4 linked regions of the Danio rerio genome follow. The protein of the gene in region 2 purifies or fractionates together with the protein of the main gene of each other region. This does not show direct contact. Links are inferred from orthologs where the notes say so. Each region holds a gene or a part of one and is shown on either strand. Other genes may lie near its edges.

Region 1 (3,521 bases), on a different chromosome or scaffold from region 2:
CCACACATAATAGGACACAAACCGTTCAAAAGTTTTGTCTCATCAGTCCACAAAATATTTTCCCCAAAGTGTTTCCCAAAACTGAGACGAACCTTTGTGTTCTTTTTGCTCAGCAGTGGTTTTTGTCTTGAAACTCTGCCATGCAAACACTTTTTGCCCAGTCTCTTTCTTATGGTAGAGTCATGAACACTCACCTTAACTGAGGCAAGTGAGGCCTGCAGTTCTTTGGATTCTTCTTTTCTAACCTTTTGGAAGAGATGTCGCAGGTCATTTTGGTGGCCGACCACTCCTGGGAAAATTCTATACTGTCCTACGTTTTTGCCATTAGTAGATAATAGCTCTCACTGTGGTTTGCTATAGTCCCAAATCTTTCTAGATCTCAATATTTTTTTCTTAACTTGTTTTTGAGTTTTCTTTAGATCTCTGCATGATGTCTAATTTTTGAGGATCTTTTGGTCTACATCACTTTGTCAGGCAGGTCCTATTTTAGGTGATTTCTTGACTTCGAACAGGTGTAGCCATAATCAAGCCTAAAAATTGAACTCAGGTGTAATAAACCAGAGTTAAGTTATGTTTAAACAGGTGAGGGTTGTGTGTGTGTGTGTGGGGGGGGGGTGTAATAGTGGAAACACTTTTAAACATAGGGCTAAGTAGTTTTTTATTTTGTTTTCCCTTAATAAAAAAGCCTTTATTTAAAAACTAAAAACTGCATGAAGTGTTTATTTGTGTTTTCTTTGACTTAATTTTGACTAAATTTGTTGGATGATCAGAACTTTTAAAGTGTGAGAACATGCAAAAAAATAAGTGAGGTGGCAAAAGCTTTTGGTTATTAAATCAAAGAGAAAGATGGTGGACTAAAGGAGTGCATGACTAAGCGCTATCTGCAGTCAGGTTCTCTTACCGTGGCCTCATTACAGACGGTGCACTTCACCACATGCTGATGGAGTTTGCCATCCAGAGTTATAAGAGATTGGCACACTCGACAGTTGATGACTGGCACTCCTCCTGCATCTGGACTGGCAATGGCTGTGTAGGGCGGAGGTAATTCAGCTGCAGATGAAGACAAAAAACAAAATACAGTCTTTCAGCTGACCTGTCACAATAATAGATCAATTGTCTGATAGTAGTTATTTGCTGTGCAGTATAGGTTTCACATATGATAGGTTTGAGCACATAAACAAAAGACAAGCAATGATTTATGTGCATAATGCTCAGAAACATTTACTGGTTTTATGTTAAAGACCCTTAATCTTTCACACACAGTTAATGATAAAACAAGGACACACTTATTTATATGACCATCAACTGGTGAGTATCTTCCTTGAGCAAAAACATTTTTACATAGAATTACAGAAATCTCTAATTTGCTCTGAAAACATCATGTATCATGTAAGTTAGAATAAAATATAACAGTGCAAAAAATTAATAACAACAAATCTCCTTTTAAAATCATTTGTTTAATAATCAATCGTTAGGACAAAATTGATGAACATTCATGGTCACATGACATTGACAATTATTTAAAACAACAAAATTCCCTACAGAATGCAAAAGTCAGGTTATGAACATAATAGTAAAAAAATAATTAGAAATTGTAGTTTTTAACAATAACCGAAAAACTTTAAAGACATGCAGAGGTTGTTAATCGACTGTATATGTTCACATGAATTCAACTTATTTTAAAGCAATCTCTCATTTTGTGCACTTTGCTTGCTGTAACTTTCTGACTAAGAAAAGTTTTTGAGGAATCATATATGGTTATTGACAGTGATTACAATCAAATAAAAAAGTCATTTAAAGTTCAAAGATCTAATAACCCCCAGGCCTAGTTTGACAGGTCTTGTAAGACTCCAGATTTTTTCCCGGTGAGTATGCAGGGTTTTCCTATCAGTGCTCTATAAAGAAATAATAGTAGAATTTATTAACATGATGTAGTGTACAACATGGTGTATTTTTTTCTGCTCAAATTTGCATATTAACTTTGACAATTTCTACCAATCAGAGAGGTGCAGGTAGCAAAGTGCATTGCAAACTCAGCTCCACCCACTCCCATGAAGCATGCTTGAAACATGATGGATACAACCAACGACTTTAAATGAACAATTGTATAGTTCTCCAATCATTTTAAATTGTAACATTTGCATAACTTCATGGGATTGTAGTTCTTTGCCTCTATTAGGTTGTCAAGTCTTGTACTTTTGTTTTTATCATGTTTTTATATGTTTCTTTGCTTCAAATGAAATTCATAATGTTGTGATTCACCATACAGTTGGTTGGTTTGGTTTGTGGCTCATAACACTTTAATCATAACACTTTAATCAAAAGATCTAAGATAAAAAACAATGGGAAAAATATTTTCAAATCCAGTACTACTGAAAAAGTTACAAAATCAAGTACATTTTCTCATGTTCGAGATGTTGTCACTGGGATTTACTTCACAACAGTGAAAAACAAACTATTATTGTGTCTATGTAATGTTGACTTTAAAATATTTTTTTACTTTAATAATACTACTGCATAAATAAATCAGCTACACTCTATGAAATAACTTATGACATCTGTTATCATGGGCCCCACCTGTAATTATTTATGATCATAGATTTTTACTGGGGCACATGCCCTATATCCAACCACATTGGCTAGCCCGCGTGGGGCCCACCTGTAATTGTTTATGATAATACTTTACATTTAAGTACAGCAGATTTCTTTGAACTTTTTAAGAACAGTGCTATTTTTAATTAACTTTTAAAATCACATTTTTATTTATCACATATTTATTATGTATTTATTATGTTTAAAGTGGCTGACAATAATAAATATTCATAATAATAATAATCAATCTGCCACATTTGTGAACTGTGCAGTAGCCGCTTAATTAGGCTTACTATGTATTTCAATACCAGTCATTATGGTGGTACTTGAAGAGACAAGTTTTCCTGAGGTGGTACTTGGTGAAAAAAGTTTGAGAACTACTGGTCTAAACAATATTTTTTTAGAGTGGAGTTCAATCCATAAACCCACACTTTGTATCATTATCTGCTTATTGTCTGCATAAAAGACCCTATCCATGTGTGACTTTTTTAACTTTATAGAAGTAAAGTATAAACTGGCTTGAGTAGTGCAAGTATTGGATTGTTAACGTACATTCAGCTGGCCATTATTGCAAAATAACCCCAGACAGGGTGACTGGGTTTTGTTTAAGAGGCTAATTTTGCCATGATGACCAGCTCAGTTCTATTATTCCATGTATTATTCCTCTATTGCATGGCTATTTATCAAATACATAATTGAAAGAGCATGAAATATTGATTTGAGTTTAAATAACTCAATTATGTGAGAAGAAAGAAACCACAGAGGAATAATAGAGACATGAAAGAAGAGCAGTTCACAAGAATTTAGCGGTCATTACACAAAAATCTTTGACTTTGAATGCCACAATTGACCAATAAGCCATATAAAAACCAAGGAGAATCCTTTTTCTCAATCACAGAGCCATAAAAATGAATCAAAGTCATCTAGAC
Region 2 (3,521 bases):
TCACGCTCTCAAAAAATGTATACAGGGGCACGTAGCCATAAACAGCCTGGGTTGGTAATTTGTGTATCTCTTAGCCTAATAATAATAAAAAATTACTTTATGTTTAAGTTACACACATTACATGATATGGTAACACTTAAGGTCACAATTCACAGTATTAACAAACCATTGACTAACATTACTAGCTTTAATAAACTACTAATTATAGCTGTTTATTAAAAGTAAGTAAGGTTCTGGGTTTAGGTTTTGGGTGGGATTAGGGTTGTAAAATAAGATCATACTTTATAAGTCCTTATAAAAGGTGAATATCTTACTAATAGTCAATTATTAAGCCAGTTGTTAATCTTATGAATTGTGATCCAAATTAAAAATTGTTACCCATGATACAAATCAAAAACAAAAAAAGCAACAAATAAATAAATTTATTAATTAAGAGGTGTGGATGTGGGTCTACGTACAATGACATCAAATCTGGAGTAAAGTGCCACTACTTTGCCTAGAGAGAAGGAAAAATCTCAATGACCACTCTGAAGTAAAAGGTGTGCAAATCATTTAGCTACAGAAAAACTAACTCAAACAGTTATGCGTAGTACCTTGCTCATTGACCACAGGTAGAGCTGAGACTCGTCGCTCTACAAATATTGTTAAAGCATCATAAACGGTTTCTGTCTCCTTGACAGTCGCGATGCTCTTGAAAGTCCCGATTTCCACTTCCTCAATCCGCTTCTGTAAGAATCTTGGCTTTGGGATCATCGAGCCCTAAGATTCACCAAGAAAATGTTCATCATTAAAAACACAGTTATGGTTTAACCCATTGTACTAGGATACACATTAATGGTGGCAAACATACACTTGAAGTAATTTGTAGTCATTTTGGATATTAACAATCTGTAATTTCTAACCATATTACATATTTCATTAGCTAAATGATGGCTAATTTGTCAAACCCTCATGTAAGATCAGTTTAGTAGTGGGTTAGGGATGTACCTTAAAGAGATCACCCAAAAATAAAAATGGACTCACCATTTACACAAACAAAAAGTGGTTCTAAAGCGTTATTTTTGTATTAAAATATAAAAAAAGAATGCTGAAAACATGTCACTTTCATAGTAGGAAAAACAAATACTATGGAAGTCAATGGTTACCTGTTTCAAGCTTTAAAAAAACTCATAAAGGTTTGTAACAAGTGTGGTGTAAACAGTAAATGATGATATAATTGTTATTTTTGGGGTGAATCATGTCTTTAATGTCTTTTTTATTATTTTAATAGCATGATTTGTACATTTTCATACAAATCACAATTTAAAATCATAAAAAACGGACATATTGTACAATAATTTTTTATGAGACTGGAATGTAAGAGTTAAAGGGGTGGTCCACTACAATATTATATTTTAAACTTTAGTTGATGATTAATGTAGCTGTGTGAACATAAACAACATCTCTTAATAAGACGCTCAAAGTTCAATGCAAAGGGAGACACAATAGCTGCGTCCCAAATGGCACACTATACACTATGCACTCATGCACTATGTACTTATGCACTTACACACGCAACAGGATAGTATATGTATTTAGTGGCATCCCAAATGGCACACTAATGTTTTTTTACCAAGCGGAAATTCAAACCGTTTCCCTGATGACGTTTGACGGTTGCCAATCAGTGAAATAAACAACCGAATTATCATATAATACCTGCCATGAATATTGCCGCATTCACCATCGGGAGGCGCTATAATCACTTTCATAGGAGAAATTTGCTTTCACCATCCAAAATAAATAAAGTTATAGAACATGTGCGTCCGATAGCTCTGCCCCTTTCCGCTACGTAAGCAAACCTGCAGTCGTTGATTGCATGAAGTGTCCATCATTATGTAACCCCGTCGGTCCTACGCCACCCAACCCGCTCCAAGCTGGTATCGAATCGGCAACATTCCGCATGGGAGTCGGTTGCTCTAACAAGGAGGCTAAAGACCATGGCCTCTAGCATCGGTCACTAGACACCTTTAGAGGTCAGAGGAGTGATGTTTACCTGCACAGCTCTCACTAGCTGGCCTCCGTTACACACACCCCCCTAAACCTCACTCCCATCCGGGTCACGGCACCAATGTAACCCTGCCGGTCCTACGCCACCCAACCCACTCCAAGCTGGTATCAAACCGGCAACCTTCCGCATGGGAGTCGGTTGCTCCAACAAAGAGGCTAAAGACCATGGCCTCTAACGTGGATCACTAGAGCACCTTTAGAGGTCAGAGGAGTGAGGTTTACCTGCACAGCTCTCACTAACTGGCCTCCGTTACAATTACACACTTCATTTTAGTGGCTGAATGAGTGCATCATCCGGGTAATTAAAGTGCACTTATTATTTTTAGAGTTTTCAGTGTGAACACACTACTTTCAATATTTATACTACAAAATGGCGTAGAATAGTGCATAGGTATGCGATTTGGGGCGCAGCTATTGGCTTTTACAGTTAGCTTAGCAAAGCCTACAGCAAACAAAGTTAGGGGGCTACAAAAAAATACATACAGGTGAATGATGCCATAAACCCTTCAGATTATGCACATACAAACTGCGCAGCGAAGGGGTGTGGTCAGAAACGATGTAATGTTATAACAGAGATGCATCCTCTCTGTTATACTCTCTACTAGCTGGGCTTCCAGCTAACTCTATCAAGCCTCTTCAACTGCTCCAGAATGCAGCAGCACGAGTGGTCTTCAATGAACCTAAACGAGCACATGTCACTCCGCTGCTATTCCGTTTGCACTGGCTGCCAGTTGCTGCTCGCATCAAATTCAAAGCTCTGATGTTTGCCTACAAAGTGACTTCTGGCCTTGCTCCTTCTTATCTGCTCTCACTTCACTGCAGATCTAAGTGCCCTCCAGAAACTTGCGTTCTGTGAATGAACGTCGCCTCGTGGTTCCATCCCAAAGAGGGAAGAAATCACTTTCGCGAACGCTCACACTTAATCTGCCCAGTTGGTGGAATGAACTCCCTAACTGCATCAGAACAGCAGAGTCACTCGCTACTTTCAAGAAATGACTAAAAACTCAACTATTTAGTCTCCACTACACTTCCTAATCTGCAATTCCCAAAAAAAAAAAAAAAAAAAAAAATACTAATACTACTAATACTTCCCTTCTTAGACTTTACAGACCTGAAACTTGCCTATAGCACTTATTCATTGTTGCTCTTAGTTGTGTAAATTGCTTCCTTGTCCTCATTTGTAGGTCGCTTTGGATAAAAGCGTCTGCTAAATGACTAAATGTAAATGTAAATGTAAATGCATCCTGATGAAGCAGAGCTGATATGTAAATCACAGCATATTATGTTAGAAGACCAATCAGAGGCTCTTGAGGGTGGGTCTTCAGAGGAACTAGGAAATATATCAGTCATTTTCATGTTAGCTGAGTAGCTGTATATAATCAAAGTTGGATATTTGAAATAATGACAGGATTTTCTACCAATGAAGCATGAGCACACATTGCTTTGCATCTTATAAACACAACCAAGCCAAACTG
Region 3 (3,220 bases), on a different chromosome or scaffold from region 2:
ACAATTTAGCGGTACATCCTAGATAACTTTCCAACGTGCACTGCTCTCTGGGGTTTTGCGCTCAAAGCACCTGCTGATTGCCTGGAGCTCAGACGGGCTGTTCAGAAATGCTAGATGAAACACCAGCGTGGACGTGAATCATTTTCATTCTAAAATGGCATTTTAAAACTAAGACGCATTAGTGTAAAAAGGGCCTAAGTGTGTATTTTTCACGAGCAGGTTTTCGACGGGGGCAGGGTGGAGGATCGCGATGCTGGCTCAGCATCTTGATGTCTACGAGATGGCATCGTATATTAATCCAACCCTAGTCTGTGTGCATATATACCCTATTCATGTTCTTTATTTTAATGATAACTTAACGCTTAGTCAAAAGCTAAGCTAATAATTCTTTTTAATTATTCAGCTTAGACCTGCATCACAAAATAACCCATTACAAAAATTTGTGGATTAGCATGCTCTGAATCTCACTCTCAGCATGTCAAAATAAACAGCAGGACACCAAAAATAAATAATCAAGATTTATTGATAGCCTAATAGCATCAAACAAACAAAAAAAGCCTACAGAACTGTAATAGACATGTGAAGAAGCATGTGTTTTTAGCAGGTGCAATCAGTCTCTGAGTTCCGCTGGAAAAGACCAGTGTCCCAAACAGAATTATGGTCCATCTAGGCCTTGGCAACAGCCTGACCCTGAGCCCGCTGGTACTCCTGCTGGAGACTGGACAAAACCTCCCGATGCTGCTCAGACTTCCTCTCCATCTCCTTCAATAAAGTCTCATAGCGCTGACTGAGATGAAGAGCAGAGAAATACTCAGTTACATCAGAATCAACTGCGGCATCCGCATTCAATGAAACGTAATGTGAGCTGGCATTAATCATACTTACATTTCACCATTGATGTATTCCAATCTCTTTCCCACTGTGGCCTTGGCTTCATCTAGATCTTGCTTGACCAGAACCGGTCCAATTAGTTTGTAAACTGTGTTTTGGCTATCCAGTAAGGCAAGCTCCTGAAGAGGGATGGCAGATGTGATATAACATGATGAATGTGTATAGTAGGGCTGCACAAAACACTGCCTGACAGTAGTCTTGACGTTTTTCCCAGTTCTAAGAGCAACAAATAATAACTTGACTTCTAGTTGATAATTTGGAAAAGTGTCAGAAGGTAGATTTTTCTGATGAATCATCATGTGTTGAACTGCATCTCAATCATCACAAATACTACAGAAGACCTAATAGAACCCGCATGGACCCTATATTGTCACAGAATCAGTCAAGTTTGGTGGAGGAAAAATCATAGTTTGGGGTTACATTCAGTATGGGGGTGTGCTAGATATCTGCAGAGTGGATGGCAACATCAACAGCATGAGGTATCAAGACATTTTGCTGCCCATTACATTACAAACCACAGGAGAGGGTAAACTGGAAATTCTTCAGCAGGATAGCGTTCCTTCTCATACTTCAGCCCCTACAACAAACTTCCTGAAAGCAAAGATGGTCAAGGTGCTCCAAGATTGGCCAGCCCAGTCAGCAGACATGAATATTATTAAGCATGTTTTTGGTAAGATGAAGGAGAAGGCAATGAAGATGAATCCAAATAATCTTGATGAATTCTGGGAGTCTTGCAGGAACGCTTTCTTTGCCATTCCAGATGACATTGTTAATAAGTTAATGGAATCATTGCAGAGATGTATGGATGCAGACCTCCAAGCTCATGAGAGCCATACACAATATTGATTATTTTTCCACTGCACCATGACGTTATATTCTATACTGTACATTATTTCTGTTAAGTGACATGACTTTTGTCTAAGCAAAGTCAGACCTTCTTGTCCTAATTAATGATCGTATTTTATTTTGGTAAAATAAGTGTAATCTAGAGGCCTTTGCCTTTCATATAAGCCAATTCTGATACCAAATGATCAACTAGAAGTCAAGTTATTATTTGCCTTTCCTAAAACTTGGATAGGCGACAAGACTTTTGTCAGGTAGTGTATATCATTTCAGCATCGATTTGACAATGTGCGCATCTGCAATAGACCCATCACAAGATCTGCAATGTTGAGTCTGAATTACAGGTGTCTAGGAGCCACAGAACACATCTGATTTGTGTCACTGCTAAGTTAAATCAGCGTATGTGTTTTTAAGGCCTTTGACTGAGCATTTCAAGATAGGTTGGGCACAATGATGTTTAGAGGTTTAAGTAAAATTAATTGAATTTAATTATTTGTAAGAAAAAAATTTTTTTTACTTAGAATTTTTGTCTAGTTTCAAGCCCAAATATCTCAATTTCAAAGAGGAAATAGGAATTTGAATGACCTCATTGGTAGATAATTTAGCATGTATTAAGGGAAAACCTCTCATTTTATAAGAATCTTCTTTCATAAGAATATTTTTTACTTGATCTACAAGATTTTTTAGATATTTGGACAAGAAACGAGACAAGAAAAATATATATATATATTTTTTTGTATTGTGATTACTGAATTTCTGTTCCTGAATATTGTTTAACTCCCTATAAAACTAATAGAAAATAGGGCTATTCAAATTATCTAGTGAAACTATACATAAATTTAAATATTGTATAACTATTGAATATTTATCACAGAAAAATAAAAGATTGCAATATCAGATTTTTCCAATATTGTGCAGCCCTGTATAGATTTGATCATACACTCAAAAAAGGATTTTTGCTACTTGTTCAAACCACTTGTAAAATTAGCTGAAACAACACAACTCTTGTGTTTTTTTAGCGACAACTTAATTGTTTTATGTTCAATGCACTTCAGTTTGTAAAAACATTTAAGTTAACTTAATCCGTTCGATTTGGGACAACATGAAGCAATTGTGTGGAACCCAGCATTTTTTAAAATCTAACCATATACTAACTGAAATGTACCATAAAAGATATAGAACACTCTTAAACTTACCTCCTTTACAATGTTATTTTCAGTCAACTGTGCCTCCAGTTTCTGTCTTGCTGACATACTTTTACTGACATCTGTGAAATAAAATGGCATTAAATTTAGTCTCTAATCGCTACTCTACAGAAATCAGTGCTAAGAAATTATGCCAGCCAACACATTTTATATAAACGATGACATTACAGAATAATAACATTTAAAAAAGGTTTTTAAAAAAGCTATATTTTTATAATTTAAAAATAACATGTATATAAGAAATTGCTATGTTTTTAGTAATGGAAGGGAACAAAACATTT
Region 4 (3,521 bases), on a different chromosome or scaffold from region 2:
ACATATACATTTTATGCACTTTATACGTTTTCTGAATTTCTGAAGTCCCCACCCCACACTCTTATTTGTCTGACAATCCCATTTCAGGTCTCACTAAAGCCGAGTTTATGATGTAAATTTGGCCATTATTTGGTCATCTGAGTCAAACTTTGGAAAAGATTTCTATAATAGATCTTAGTTAAAATCTGTCACCTTTGATTGCCATTGTTAGAACTTTATGAGTTAGAAAAGTAATGCATTACAGTAACTAAATACTTTTTGCTGTAACAAAGTATAGTGTAAAAGGGGGTCCAGACACTCCACACACCCTCTTTACATTGTATTCTTTAAAAAAAAAAAAAAAAACAAAACATTGTTAAGAAATACAAAAAAGAAAAGAAGGCAAAATTTTGACGCTGATGAGCGTACTCTCATAGATGACAATGTTTACTATTCTAAAAGACGTGGTGTGGAATTTTGCATCCAGTGTGCGATGAGCTTAAATAAATAATCATTTTACAATAATAGGGTGGACTGGTTGTCTCAAAGTTTGCATTGAAAGGGTGGGTATCTAGATGATGACAGCTATAGGACTGGCAAAAGATCCTTTCTGTGATATGATTATCAATAAAGTTGAATTTGTTCTAAATGTTTAGATTATATGATGACCATAGGGTTAAGTAAAATTTTATAAACTAATTTTGACAGGAGCACGTGATATGATTGATCGCGGCTGGTCTCTCGTCCGTAAGCAGCGATAATCTAATCATATCGATCCAAGTCTACAATAAATAGACTGATTTCACCTTACTTGCCCTATCTTTGTTATGGAAGAATCACCCCTTCCGCCCCATCTCCTCCTTTTCCTCTGTTTACCAGGGGGAGCTCTTGAGATCTAACTAATCTTGGACTCCATTTATGCTAAATGACAAGGCAGGAGCCATGCTCAATCATCTCCAAGCTCAGGGTTTTCTCCCAGGATAGGATGCCAAACTTGCAAAAAGCGTCAAGCAATATGAGTATAAACTCTGAAAACTGAAGTAAAACTGGAATGATATGGGTCTCGTTGTTATTTCTGTATGCCAAGTTATGCGTTTTCCTCAGGAACTTCAGGCTCATTCATTACGACCTCTCATATGAAACTGGATTTTGATGAAAACAAAAACCTGTCAAATCTTTTGAGATTCTATTGTATGAGAGAGACTTTCTTTGTATTAGTTAGCTGCCAGTATAAAGATGTTTATTGTACCATTCTGATAAGATACAAGACATCCTTGAAGTCTATAAGCATTCTTTGTGTGTGTGTGTGTGTGTGTGTGTGTGTGTGTGTGTGTGTGTTCTTCATCGGAGGAGACTTCTTTGCTTGTCGCCAAAGTAATCATTGGTGATTTTGTTTAGAATTTTACGCACACATGTTGAGATTGTCTAAGTCTATCTGTGTTCTAACCAATCAGGTTAAACCTCCTATATGTGTGACGCAGCTTGTGATATTACATTAGAGTATAATTGCTGTGATTTTGATACTGCGTGGCGTACAAACTATGTGCTTATTTCCTGCTTTATCAGGGGTCGCCACTGAATGAACTGCAGTTACTCTGGCATTTGTTTTACCTGCCGATGCCCATCCCCAACCCTCAGCGCTGGGAAACACTTACACACTCTCTTATTTACACTCTATGGCCATTTTAGTGTATTCAGTTCACCTATACAGCACGCTTAGGACTGTGGAGGAAACCCAAGCAGACACGGAGAGCACATGCAAACAGAAACACCTTCAGGGCTCGAACCAACAACCATCTTGCTGAGACCACCGTGCCCCCCCCAACCCACAGTTTTATTGTTAAAAGAAAAAAACCTTTTGCATCCACACTAATGCATGATAATGTTCTGTTTATCATTAGCATTTAATTATTTAATGCTTTTCATTAGCATTTTCCTAGCTGATGGATACTAAAAACACTACAATCCATTCAGAATTTTAAGATGATAAAAGAAGGAAAATTCTGGCATCATCTACTCACTTTCAATTTTTTTTTAATCTCTTTTTCTTGATGAACACAAAAGACTAGAAAAACCAGAAGCTTCTATATACTTATATATAAATATATATATATATATATATATATATATATATATATATATATATATATATATATATATATATATATATATATATATATATATATATACTCACCGGCCACTTTAATAGGTACACTTATCCAACTGTTCGTTATCACAAGTTTTTCTAATCAGCCTGCAGCAGTTCAAACCAAGCATCAAAATGGGGACGAAAGGTGATTTAAATTACTTGAACGTGGCATGGTTGTTGGTGCCAGACGTGCTGGTCTGAGTATTTCAGAAACCTAATCTACTGAGCATTCCACAAACAACCATCTCTATTGTTTATAAAGAATGGTCCGAAAAAGAGAAAATATCCAGTGAGCGGCAGTTCTGTGGGCGCAAATGTAGATTAGAAAAATGTTGCCTGGTCTGATGAGTCTCGATTTTCACTGCAACACTTGGATGGTAGGGTCAGAATTTGGCATCAAAAACATAAAAGCATGGATCTATTTTTCCTTGTATCAACAGTTCAGGCTGGTGGTGGTGGTGTAATGTTGTGGGGGATATTTTCTCCGCACACTTTGGGCCCATTAGTACCAATTGAGCATCATGTCAACACCACAGCCTGACCGAGTATTGTTGCTGACCATGTCCATCCCTTTATGACTTCAGTGTACCAATCTTCTGATGGCTACTGCCAGCAGGATAACATGCCATGTCAAATGAATCATCTCAGACTGGTTTCTTGAACATGACAATGAGTTCACTTTACTCAGATGGCCACAGTCCCCCAATCTTAATCCAACAGAGCACCTTTGGTGGCACGGGAAATTGGTATCATGGATAAGCAACCGACAAATCTGCAGCAACTGTATAATGCTATCATGTCAGTATATAAACCAAAACCTCTGAGAAATTTTCCAGTATCTTGTTGAATCTATGCCCTGGAGGATTAAAGCAGTTCTGAAGGCAAAAGGGGTTCCAACCCGATAGTTGTAAGGTGTACCTTATAAAGTGGCCGCCGAGTGTATATCTTATTTAATTATGACTTTCATAGATTTTTTTTAACAGCAAGTAAAAAATGTTAAAATAAGGTGACCTATCCTTTGTATTTTGATAAGCAGTTCTTTGTCGGACAAGTAGATTTAATATAAGCAACTATATTTGTTTTTTTGCTCATAACCTACCTCAAGCTCTTTTATCTTGTCATCTGCCGTCTTCTGCTTTTCCAAAAGCTGATTAGAGATCTCACCTTTTGACTGCAAAATAAACCTGAATAAAGGAAGGAAGAGAAGGTCAAAACAACAGAGAGTAAAGGGTCCAGATTTGAAACCTCCAGAATTATACATACATCCGTCCTGCTCCCTCAAACATCCGAGTGCTTTCAGGAAGTGATGTAATCTCTCCATGCGTGAGATTTGCGTGCTTCTTTACACGACTCAGCTGTTCGATCTGCAGGTCTGCCAGCTTCACCTTCTGCT

The links. The genes of interacting proteins can lie anywhere in the genome.
Region 1: the proteins of prkag3b (region 2) and pip4p2 purify together in Homo sapiens (affinity purification with mass spectrometry; 3 studies listed by BioGRID and IntAct, with this or other methods). This does not show direct contact. The link is inferred for Danio rerio from reciprocal best matches to the Homo sapiens genes PRKAG3 and PIP4P2.
Region 3: the proteins of prkag3b (region 2) and pfdn6 purify together in Homo sapiens (affinity purification with mass spectrometry; 3 studies listed by BioGRID and IntAct, with this or other methods). This does not show direct contact. The link is inferred for Danio rerio from reciprocal best matches to the Homo sapiens genes PRKAG3 and PFDN6.
Region 4: the proteins of prkag3b (region 2) and pfdn1 purify together in Homo sapiens (affinity purification with mass spectrometry; 3 studies listed by BioGRID and IntAct, counting the BioPlex papers as one, with this or other methods). This does not show direct contact. The link is inferred for Danio rerio from reciprocal best matches to the Homo sapiens genes PRKAG3 and PFDN1.

The regions. Positions count from the first base shown.
Region 1 is NC_133194.1:33,870,333-33,873,853, reverse strand, and holds part of pip4p2 (type 2 phosphatidylinositol 4,5-bisphosphate 4-phosphatase), read right to left. Parts: intron 1,051-3,521; coding exon 902-1,050; intron 1-901. UniProt on the Homo sapiens protein: Catalyzes the hydrolysis of phosphatidylinositol-4,5-bisphosphate (PtdIns-4,5-P2) to phosphatidylinositol-4-phosphate (PtdIns-4-P).
Region 2 is NC_133184.1:14,255,769-14,259,289, forward strand, and holds part of prkag3b (5'-AMP-activated protein kinase subunit gamma-3b), read right to left. Parts: exon of another isoform or gene 3,288-3,521; intron 2,629-3,287; exon of another isoform or gene 760-2,628; coding exon 594-759; intron 497-593; coding exon 459-496; intron 1-458. UniProt on the Homo sapiens protein: AMP/ATP-binding subunit of AMP-activated protein kinase (AMPK), an energy sensor protein kinase that plays a key role in regulating cellular energy metabolism.
Region 3 is NC_133189.1:35,056,852-35,060,071, forward strand, and holds the end of pfdn6 (prefoldin subunit 6), read right to left. Parts: intron 3,002-3,220; coding exon 2,931-3,001; intron 1,011-2,930; coding exon 886-1,010; intron 788-885; coding exon 667-787; 3' UTR 506-666; downstream 1-505. UniProt on the Homo sapiens protein: Binds specifically to cytosolic chaperonin (c-CPN) and transfers target proteins to it. Binds to nascent polypeptide chain and promotes folding in an environment in which there are many competing pathways for nonnative proteins.
Region 4 is NC_133196.1:32,808,139-32,811,659, forward strand, and holds part of pfdn1 (prefoldin subunit 1), read right to left. Parts: coding exon 3,392-3,521; intron 3,313-3,391; coding exon 3,228-3,312; intron 1-3,227. UniProt on the Homo sapiens protein: Binds specifically to cytosolic chaperonin (c-CPN) and transfers target proteins to it. Binds to nascent polypeptide chain and promotes folding in an environment in which there are many competing pathways for nonnative proteins.